Linked DNA regions of Mus musculus. The protein of the gene in region 1 interacts with the protein of each later gene in a biochemical or structural test. Links are inferred from orthologs where the notes say so. Each region holds a gene or a part of one and is shown on either strand. Other genes may lie near its edges. The genes, in order: Gabarap and Nbr1.

Region 1 (4,308 bases):
ACTTTAAGCATTGCCTGGTAATTTCAGATGCAGGAAAGGGCCGAAAGGTAAAGGCTACCAAGGCAACTTAAGAACCGGACTCAAAATAGATTTGAAGATACAGATCATCTGTAAGCAACAGTAGGCACTAAACGTGGTCCCTAGTACAGAAGGAATAAAAGAAAAGCAATCATTCCTATTTTATCTCTCTCCTATAGGAAAGGCTGACTTGGACTGGGTGGTAGTGGTGCACACCTTCAATCCCAATGCTCTGGAGGCAGAGGCAGGCAGAACTCTGTGAGTTAGAAACCAGCCTGGTCTACAGAGTGAGCTCCAGAACAGCCAGGGCTACACAGAAAGACTATGTCTCAAAAAACAAAACAAAACAAAACAAAACAAAACAAACAAAAACAAAAACAAAAACAAGCTGGGCTTGGAAGCGCAAGCCTTTAATCCCAGCACTTGGGAGGCAGAGGCAGGTGGATTTCTGAGTTCGAGGCCAGCCTGGTCTACAAAGTGAGTTCCAGGACAGCCAGGGCTTTACAGAGAAACCCTGTCTCTGAAAAAAAAAAAAAAAAAAAGAAAGAAAGAAAGAAAGAAAGAAAGAAAGAAAGAAAGAAAGAAAGAAAGAAAGAAAGAAAAAGGCTGACCTCACTGCCCGGTGTGGTGGCACACGCCTTTAATCCCAGCACTCGGGAGGCAGAGGCAGACGGATTTCTGAGTTCAAGGCCAGCCTGGTCTACAAAGTGAGTTCTAGGACAGCCAGGGCTATACAAAGAAACCCTGTCTCAAAAAAACAAAAAACAAACAAAAAAAAAAGAGGCTGACCTCAAACTCACTATACTATGTAGTCAACAACTTCCAACTTGATACTGCTGCCTCGGCCTCTACCTTCCTCTGCTTCCACAGTGCTGGGACTGAAGCTGTGCATGATCATGCCCCACGTTCAGTGGTTTTGAGGGTTTTTAATTTGGGGATTTTTATTTTTGATTGTTTTATTTTTATTTTTATTTATTTATTTATTATTTTTTTTTTTGAGACAGGGTCTCACTACTAAGTATCTCTGACTAATCAGGATAGACTCAAACTCAAAAGAGACCCACCAGCCTCTGACTCCTGGATGATCGGATTAAAACTGTGTGCAGAAACAGCTGTGCTTTGGATTTAAAGGATCAAAGGTATGTGTCACCATTCAGGATGAGGACTTATAACAACTCTAACACCAGCACTCAAGAGGCATAAGCAGGAAGCTCTCTGAGTCTGAGGTCAGCCTGGTCTGTGTGTCAAGTTTAGGGCAGTGGTGGCGCACACCTTTTGTTAAGCCCAGCCCTAGGGAGGCAGAAACAAGTGGGTCTCTGGGAGTTTAGAGGCCAACCTGGTCTACAGAGGGGATTCCAGGACAGCCAGGATTATACAGAGAAGCCCTGTCTCCTAAAGAAAACGAACAGAAAGTAACAACAACAACCACCACTCCTCAAACGCAATCTATTCTTTGACATCTGGGACTCTTGGAGAGACTCACTTAGGTAGTAAGTCCCAGTCAGAACAACTCCACCAGTTCATACTCCTCCCTATTCTCAGCGCTAGTAAGATCCCACGGCAGGGCTGTACTGACATTTTAAAGTTAGCCAGCAGCGACCGCTGGCCTTTACTTTCCTCTCCAAACACTACCGTTCCTTCCAAGGTACTGTACCTGGTACAGCTGACCCATCGTGGCACTGGTGGGTGGAATGACATTGTTGACAAAGAAAAACAAGGCATCTTCAGCACGGAGATGAATTCGCTTCCGGATCAAGAAGTAGAATTGACCAACTGCCAAAAACAGGAGATGCAAGCAAGTCACAGAGGTCGTAGGCGCCTCCAGAGAACAGCTGCCAGGTGAAGCCTCCTCCCACAGAGTTGGCAGGCCCACCCACAGAAAGAAACGTGCACCACAGGTCAAGCCCTCACCTGTAAGATCAGAAGGCACCAGGTATTTCTTTTTGTCCAGGTCTCCTATCCGAGCTTTGGGGGCTTTTTCCACTATCACCTGATAAAAGGTAAGAATGAGAAAAATGAATATATATATATATATATATACATACATACACATATATATGCTGCTATATCGATGAAGAACTCAACATACAATATTCCCTTTTACTGAAACCTACTGGAATCTCATTTCTCTAGTTATCCTTATATACGTGGTGCACACAGCATTAGGTCCAAAGCTCCTGGCCTCACTCTTACCTAAATATTGAGAACTGATCCTAGAACGGCGCATCACAATAACTATTTTCACCAGAGAATACAGGATGACTTGTTTGGGTCAAAAATCTACATTAAATCTAGCTAGTTGGGAGGATGGCCATGGAAACTCTGGGTTGTCAAGCTCACTAAGGCCTCTATTCTGAGAAATACCCTGATCTCTCTCTCCCGTCCACATCTTAGTCCCCAGCTCTACTTCAGGTGAGAGACCTCTGGTACCAGAGACAACAGAGTTCTAACCCCACGACAGACAGAGCCTGACTTCAGCTTTCCCAGACTCAAGCATAGCCTGTGGCGACAGCGTCAGCGACGCTAGCCTGGGCCCTGGCTACTGTCCTTACCGGGACCCGGTCTGGGTATTTCTTTCGGATTTTCTCGCCCTCAGAGCGGCGCTTCTCGAACGGATGCTCCTCTTTGTACACGAACTTCATTCTCCCGAGAACCGGGCTGGACCGAGCTGGGCTGAGGGAACCCAGGGGGGGGGCCGGGACAGGGGGCGGCGGCGGAGGCGGCTTCGACGAACAGACTTGGCGGAGCGATCCACGAATTTGCGCCACTTCCCTATTCATCAACCCCGCCCCCGACCATCGGACCGGCCCCGCCTGCTAACATACGCCACTAGCTCAGCTTGCTAGCGCAACCCGTAGCCTGGTCCTCTTACGCCTTCAGCGTAACTGCTTTGGAATCAACTTGTGGGTTACACATATGACATCGCAGATAAGGTTGCTGTTGTTTCGAGTGAACTGAAAAACCCTTTCCCACAGTACAAAGTTGAGGACGAAACTGGTACCCAGTGGCAGTCATGAGATTTAGTTCTGCAGTTCTCGGAAATTACGTTGGGGAAAGGCAGACAATTACAAGTCTAGGATTTCATGAGACGTGTTTCTACGCTGAAGGTGGCCGTTGACACCAAAACAAAGTAGTACCCAAGCTGTGGATATGGACACCATAAGACAGAAAGGAAAGAGGTTTGCAGACACCCAGGGAATGCTCAAGGCTCAGGCTTATGTGAACCAAGAGAAACTGCAAAAGCCCCAAAGATAAGGACTACACCAGAGCGGAGGAACACATTTCTGAGTGTAGATAAAATCATGTGACCTCAGAAAAGGGCGGAGAATCACGTGGCGGGTGGCGAAAAGTAGTCCCGGCTCTGGAGAGGAGGTGCCAGGAAAGAGGGTTCCGCCCCAGGTTACTGCTGGAGTGCCAACACCTCGTAGGCAGCGCCCTCTTAGCCTGTCCACGTCAACTTCCCAGACAAGCCCAGCCTTTCTCCAGCTGTATGCCCTTCCAGGGTTCTAGAGTTTTCCCTCTTTAGCCTTCTATATCCTACTTTAAAGTTGTTGGTCCACTGTCCATCAGGGACTCCATCCAGTCAGTGGGGCCTTTCCTGCCGAACACTGAACATAAACTACTTTATCCCTGTGCTAAATCCCACTTCCCCCCAACTCCAAACAGCATCTTCTCCCTCTGCTTCAAGGACAGAGCAGATGTCAACAAAGTTCCCTCCATTTCCAAAAACATCAGAGAAGGGTCTAGGGCAGCTTTGGTTTCAAAGTTATAATGCATGGTTTAAAAGAGGAAAGAAGAAAGGAGCCGATTACAGGTATGGGGGATTGGGGAAAGAAAAAAAATGAGGAAAAGTAAGGGGGGGACAAGTCTGAGGAGGATCCAGTGGCCCGAAACCCCAGTCCCCACCCACAGCCCAGCCCTTGGAGCAGGAGTGAAGAATTAGATCAGTTTTGTATAAGAGTTTTTAAAAAAATCAAATCACAACAAAGTTGAATTGGCTTCTTTTGAGCCTCTGGGATATGTCTGTCACTCTGGCCAGTCCTGCCTCTTCACCAGACTGTTTCGGCTCCTCTAGGCCTTCGCCTGTCCCAGTCTGGCATTTCCACGGAGTGTGAACCCAGAGTGAGGCTGCTTCACGGTCTGGCCCATGTGTCCATCCAGACTCCATAAGTGGAGTGTAGGGCTCCCAGGGCAGAGGGGTGGGAGGGGCAGACTCTGCCCAGGCAGTCCTCACATTGGACAGGGCAACAGACGGTGTCCCAAGAACTCTCCCTCCCTTTCCCCTCCACC
Region 2 (3,810 bases), about 32 Mb from region 1:
TGGTGGAGCCGGAGAGTATTCTGCCTAAGCCACCAGTAGTGTGGTAAACTTGTGGGCCTTTCCAAGACCACTCTTGCAGCCTGCAGATAGCAGCCCATGAATCTCCAACTTACATATTGAGGCAAAACCTCTTGAACCAAGAGCTCCCCAATCTGGCTAGCCAGCCAATTTGCTCCCAGGATGCCCTCTATGGACAGGCCATAACACACACTTACATTTGTATGGGTGCTGGGAATCCAAACACTGGTGCTCACACCTGTGTGGCAAGGGCTTAACCCAAGGAGCCCTCTCCCTAGCCCCTTATGTTCATTTTTTTCTGTGATGCTGGGGATTCAATGCAGAGCTTTGGAAATGCTAACTGAGCCCTTCACCAACGTACATAACACCTTAATATAGTTTTTAAAAATAACTTAAAACAGACTAAGAGAAAACATCTGTAAGAGTTAACAGATAAAGGGGTAAAACTTGTAAAACACACACACACACACACACACACACACACACACACACACACTCATGAAAACCGATAGCAGGAGGAATAATCCAGTGTCCAGTGCAGCTGTGCACATCCTTAAGCTTTTATCCCCAGCATGCAGCAGGCTGAGGCAGGTGGATGTCTGTGTGTGTGTGTGAGGCCAGCCTGGACTACAGAGTAAGTTTCAGAACAGCCAGAGAGACTTACAAAAACGAACAAAAACCTTACAGAGTAATACAAGTAAAAATGTGCACAAAATATACAGAAGAGGAAATAGGAATGCCTAATAAATATATAAACATATTCAACCTTACCTCTAGCCAAACAGTGTAAACAGAGACACATCTGACACATTATTAAGATGTGAACATTTTTTTTTTTTTTGAGACATGGCTGTTTCTCTGTTCAACAGCTCTGGCTGACTTGGAATTCACTTTGTAGATCAGGCTGGCCTTAGACTCACAGAGTCTAAGACAGAGCCTGCCTCTGTCTCCTAAATACTGGGACTAGAGGTGTGCAGCACCACGCCTGGTCATGAATATTTTTTGAAGTTGTAATATTCAGTGTTGTCAAAGGTTCAGGGCAAGGAACAAAACTTAGTGGCAGAATGTTTGTCCAGCATGTAGAAGGTCCAACATTTGACCTCCGGCCCCACAAAATAAAAAACAGAACACCCTTCTAGGCATTGAGTCATTTTTTCTGTGCATTGTTATAATTATTCTGTGGACCACTTGGCACTATCTATGAAAATGCTTTTCATTTGATGCATCTGAGTGTTTGCCTTCACATATGCCTGTGCATCACATGAGTGCGCTGCCTGCAAAGGAAAGAGGAGGATGGCTGACGTTCTGAGACTGCAGTTACAGATAGCGAGCGGTGAGCTGCCACCTGGGTGCTGGAAATCCAACAGGGTCCTCTGGAAGAGCTGCCAGTGTTCTTAATCACTGGGCCATCTCTCCAGTCCCTATCTGTCTCTCTCTCACACACACACACACACACACACACACACACACACACACACACACACAACCTTTGGATAGACTCTACTCTATAGAACCACACATAAGTTACTCATACTGAGATGTAGGTCCTGTCTATTTTATAATGGGAAAAGAAAGAAAACCTTGGTGGGGAAATCAGTAAGTAATGGTCCTATCCACATCGTCCAGCAATACTAAGAACACCGTGGACTCAGCTGTAAAAGACTAAGATTGCTGTGTCTACTGACGAGGAACCACAGCTACAATATACTGTTGGGCAAGAAAAGCAAGATGTAGAAGACTGTATGACCCTACCAGATAACCGCATGAACATGGAAATGTGGGAAGTTCCTCGGGCTGTTTTCTCTGGCTATTTAAAGAAGACGTGAACTGCACATGTAGGATATAATTTAAAAATTTCCGGGCTGGAGAGATGGCTCAGTGGTTAAGAGCACTGACTGCTCTTCCAGAGGTCCTGAGTTCAATTCCCAGCAACCACATGGTGGCTAACAATCATTTTCAATGAAATCTGATGCCCTCTTCTGGTGTGTCTGAAGACAGCGACAGTGTACTCACATACATAAAATAAATCTTAAAAAAAGAAAAAAAAAAAATTCCAGCCAGGCAAGGTGATGCACACCTTTAATCTCAGCACTTGGGAGGCAGAGGCAGGTGGATTTCTGAGTTCTAGGCCAGCCTGGTCTACAGAGTGAGTTCCAGGACAGCCAGGGCTACTCAAGCGAAACAAAACAAAACAAAACAAAACAAGTTCCAATAAAAAAAAAAAAAAAAGGGCAAGCTGCCAACTCACCCAACAGCTGCTAGAGAAAGAAAGAAATCTGGTGCTCAGATCATTTAACAGGACCCCACTGCTTCCTCAATAGCCACCTGCCTAGGGCAGGATGGAGAGAAACTGCTGGAAGACAGGGAACGACTGTAACACACTGGAAGGCCCCTTTCTAAAATGTCCTTCCTGCTGAAGTTACCCACATAGATAAACCAGGTAAAGAAATATTTGTAACCAAAAATGGTTACATTAAACACAGATGCCCAAGTAGGAAAACATTGACCATGGCAACCCACAAACCAGAAGAGTACAAAGGGCAAAGCAAGATGAAAGACACTAAACCAAAGCACGGAGCAGAGGAGCTGCTGCATGGGCACCCATGGGAGCTGCGCTGCTTTCTGCCAGCTCTGAGACATCCAACCTTTGACCCAGCGATAAAGCAACTGACCGGTCTTGCAAAACACAAATCCCATCCTCGTCAGGTAACAAACACAGCAGTGCGCCTGCTCTCCAGTCAGACAACACCCACTACGGCCTGGCTGCAGGGAAGGACAGCCTAACTTATCCCCAGAATGTCTCTAAACCCTAATTCACTGAAAATATCATTTTACCTCATACAAGAGAGAACCAACTCCCAAAATTGTCCCAGATTTTTGCTCTCTCTCAAAAAAATTAATATATGTAATTTTAAAGATGTTTAAAGGAACATAATTGTTTCTTCCTTTTTCCTTGTACATATTCTCTACTAATACCAAATCCCTGTAAAAAATGATTTTCCAAAAGGTCCAGAAATGGATAAAATAAACTGCTCAAAATAGCTACATTTTGAAAAATATCTGTGTATAACCCACTGAGAAACAGAACAAAGCGGTACTTACCATAGCTTCAACATCAGCCCAGGTTGTATTTTCTGGATCCGAAACCAGAAAGCTTTGAGTTTCATTTTTAAAAGTCACATTTAGAGTAACCTGTGGTTCCATGCTGTCTGGCTGGAGCTGAGAGGACAGGTAGATGAAAGGAAGAGGAAGGGATTAAAAACCCACCCGGAGGCTTCAGCTCTGATATATAAGTTAGACTTGGAAGATCATAGTGAATAAGACAGACAATGTCCCCATGATGACATTACTATCTAGTAATGTGTTTTCTACAAATCTCACTGTTACACAGGATTTTTCCTTCTCAAAAATAAAGACACTAATGCTCAAGATACTGCTATAAAGATCTGCACTTATGTTATAGCTACCACTTATATAGAACTTCTATGTTAGAGAGAAAAGCCAAGTTGGGCACACACCTGTAGTCCCAGTTACTCAGAAGTTGATGCAGGATGGTAATGGAAGTCCAAGAGTTCTAGGTCAGCCTAGGAAACAATGAGATCCTATCTTTAGGATTAAAGAGGTGGGCTGTGGGGAGGGTAAACGGCTGTTGAACGAGTTTAAATTTTATCCACATCAACAAAAACCCCCTTCACATGTTTTAGGTCTCTAAGATTTTTCACTGCCTATTTCAGTGCTTGGATAGTTGAGCATCTGTAGCGTAATCCAGCAAGGTGGATTAACACAGACAAG

Evidence for each region.
Region 2: the proteins of Gabarap (region 1) and Nbr1 form a complex in vitro, tested with the Homo sapiens proteins (3 studies listed by BioGRID and IntAct). The link is inferred for Mus musculus from reciprocal best matches to the Homo sapiens genes GABARAP and NBR1.

Annotation. Positions count from the first base shown.
Region 1 is NC_000077.6:69,990,065-69,994,372, reverse strand, and holds the start of Gabarap (gamma-aminobutyric acid receptor-associated protein), read right to left. Parts: upstream 3,004-4,308; 5' UTR 2,661-3,003; coding exon 2,571-2,660; intron 2,009-2,570; coding exon 1,930-2,008; intron 1,792-1,929; coding exon 1,673-1,791; intron 1-1,672. UniProt on the Homo sapiens protein: Ubiquitin-like modifier that plays a role in intracellular transport of GABA(A) receptors and its interaction with the cytoskeleton.
Region 2 is NC_000077.6:101,555,602-101,559,411, reverse strand, and holds part of Nbr1 (next to BRCA1 gene 1 protein), read right to left. Parts: intron 3,603-3,810; 5' UTR 3,537-3,602; intron 3,238-3,536; 5' UTR 3,223-3,237; coding exon 3,121-3,222; intron 1-3,120. UniProt on the Homo sapiens protein: Ubiquitin-binding autophagy adapter that participates in different processes including host defense or intracellular homeostasis.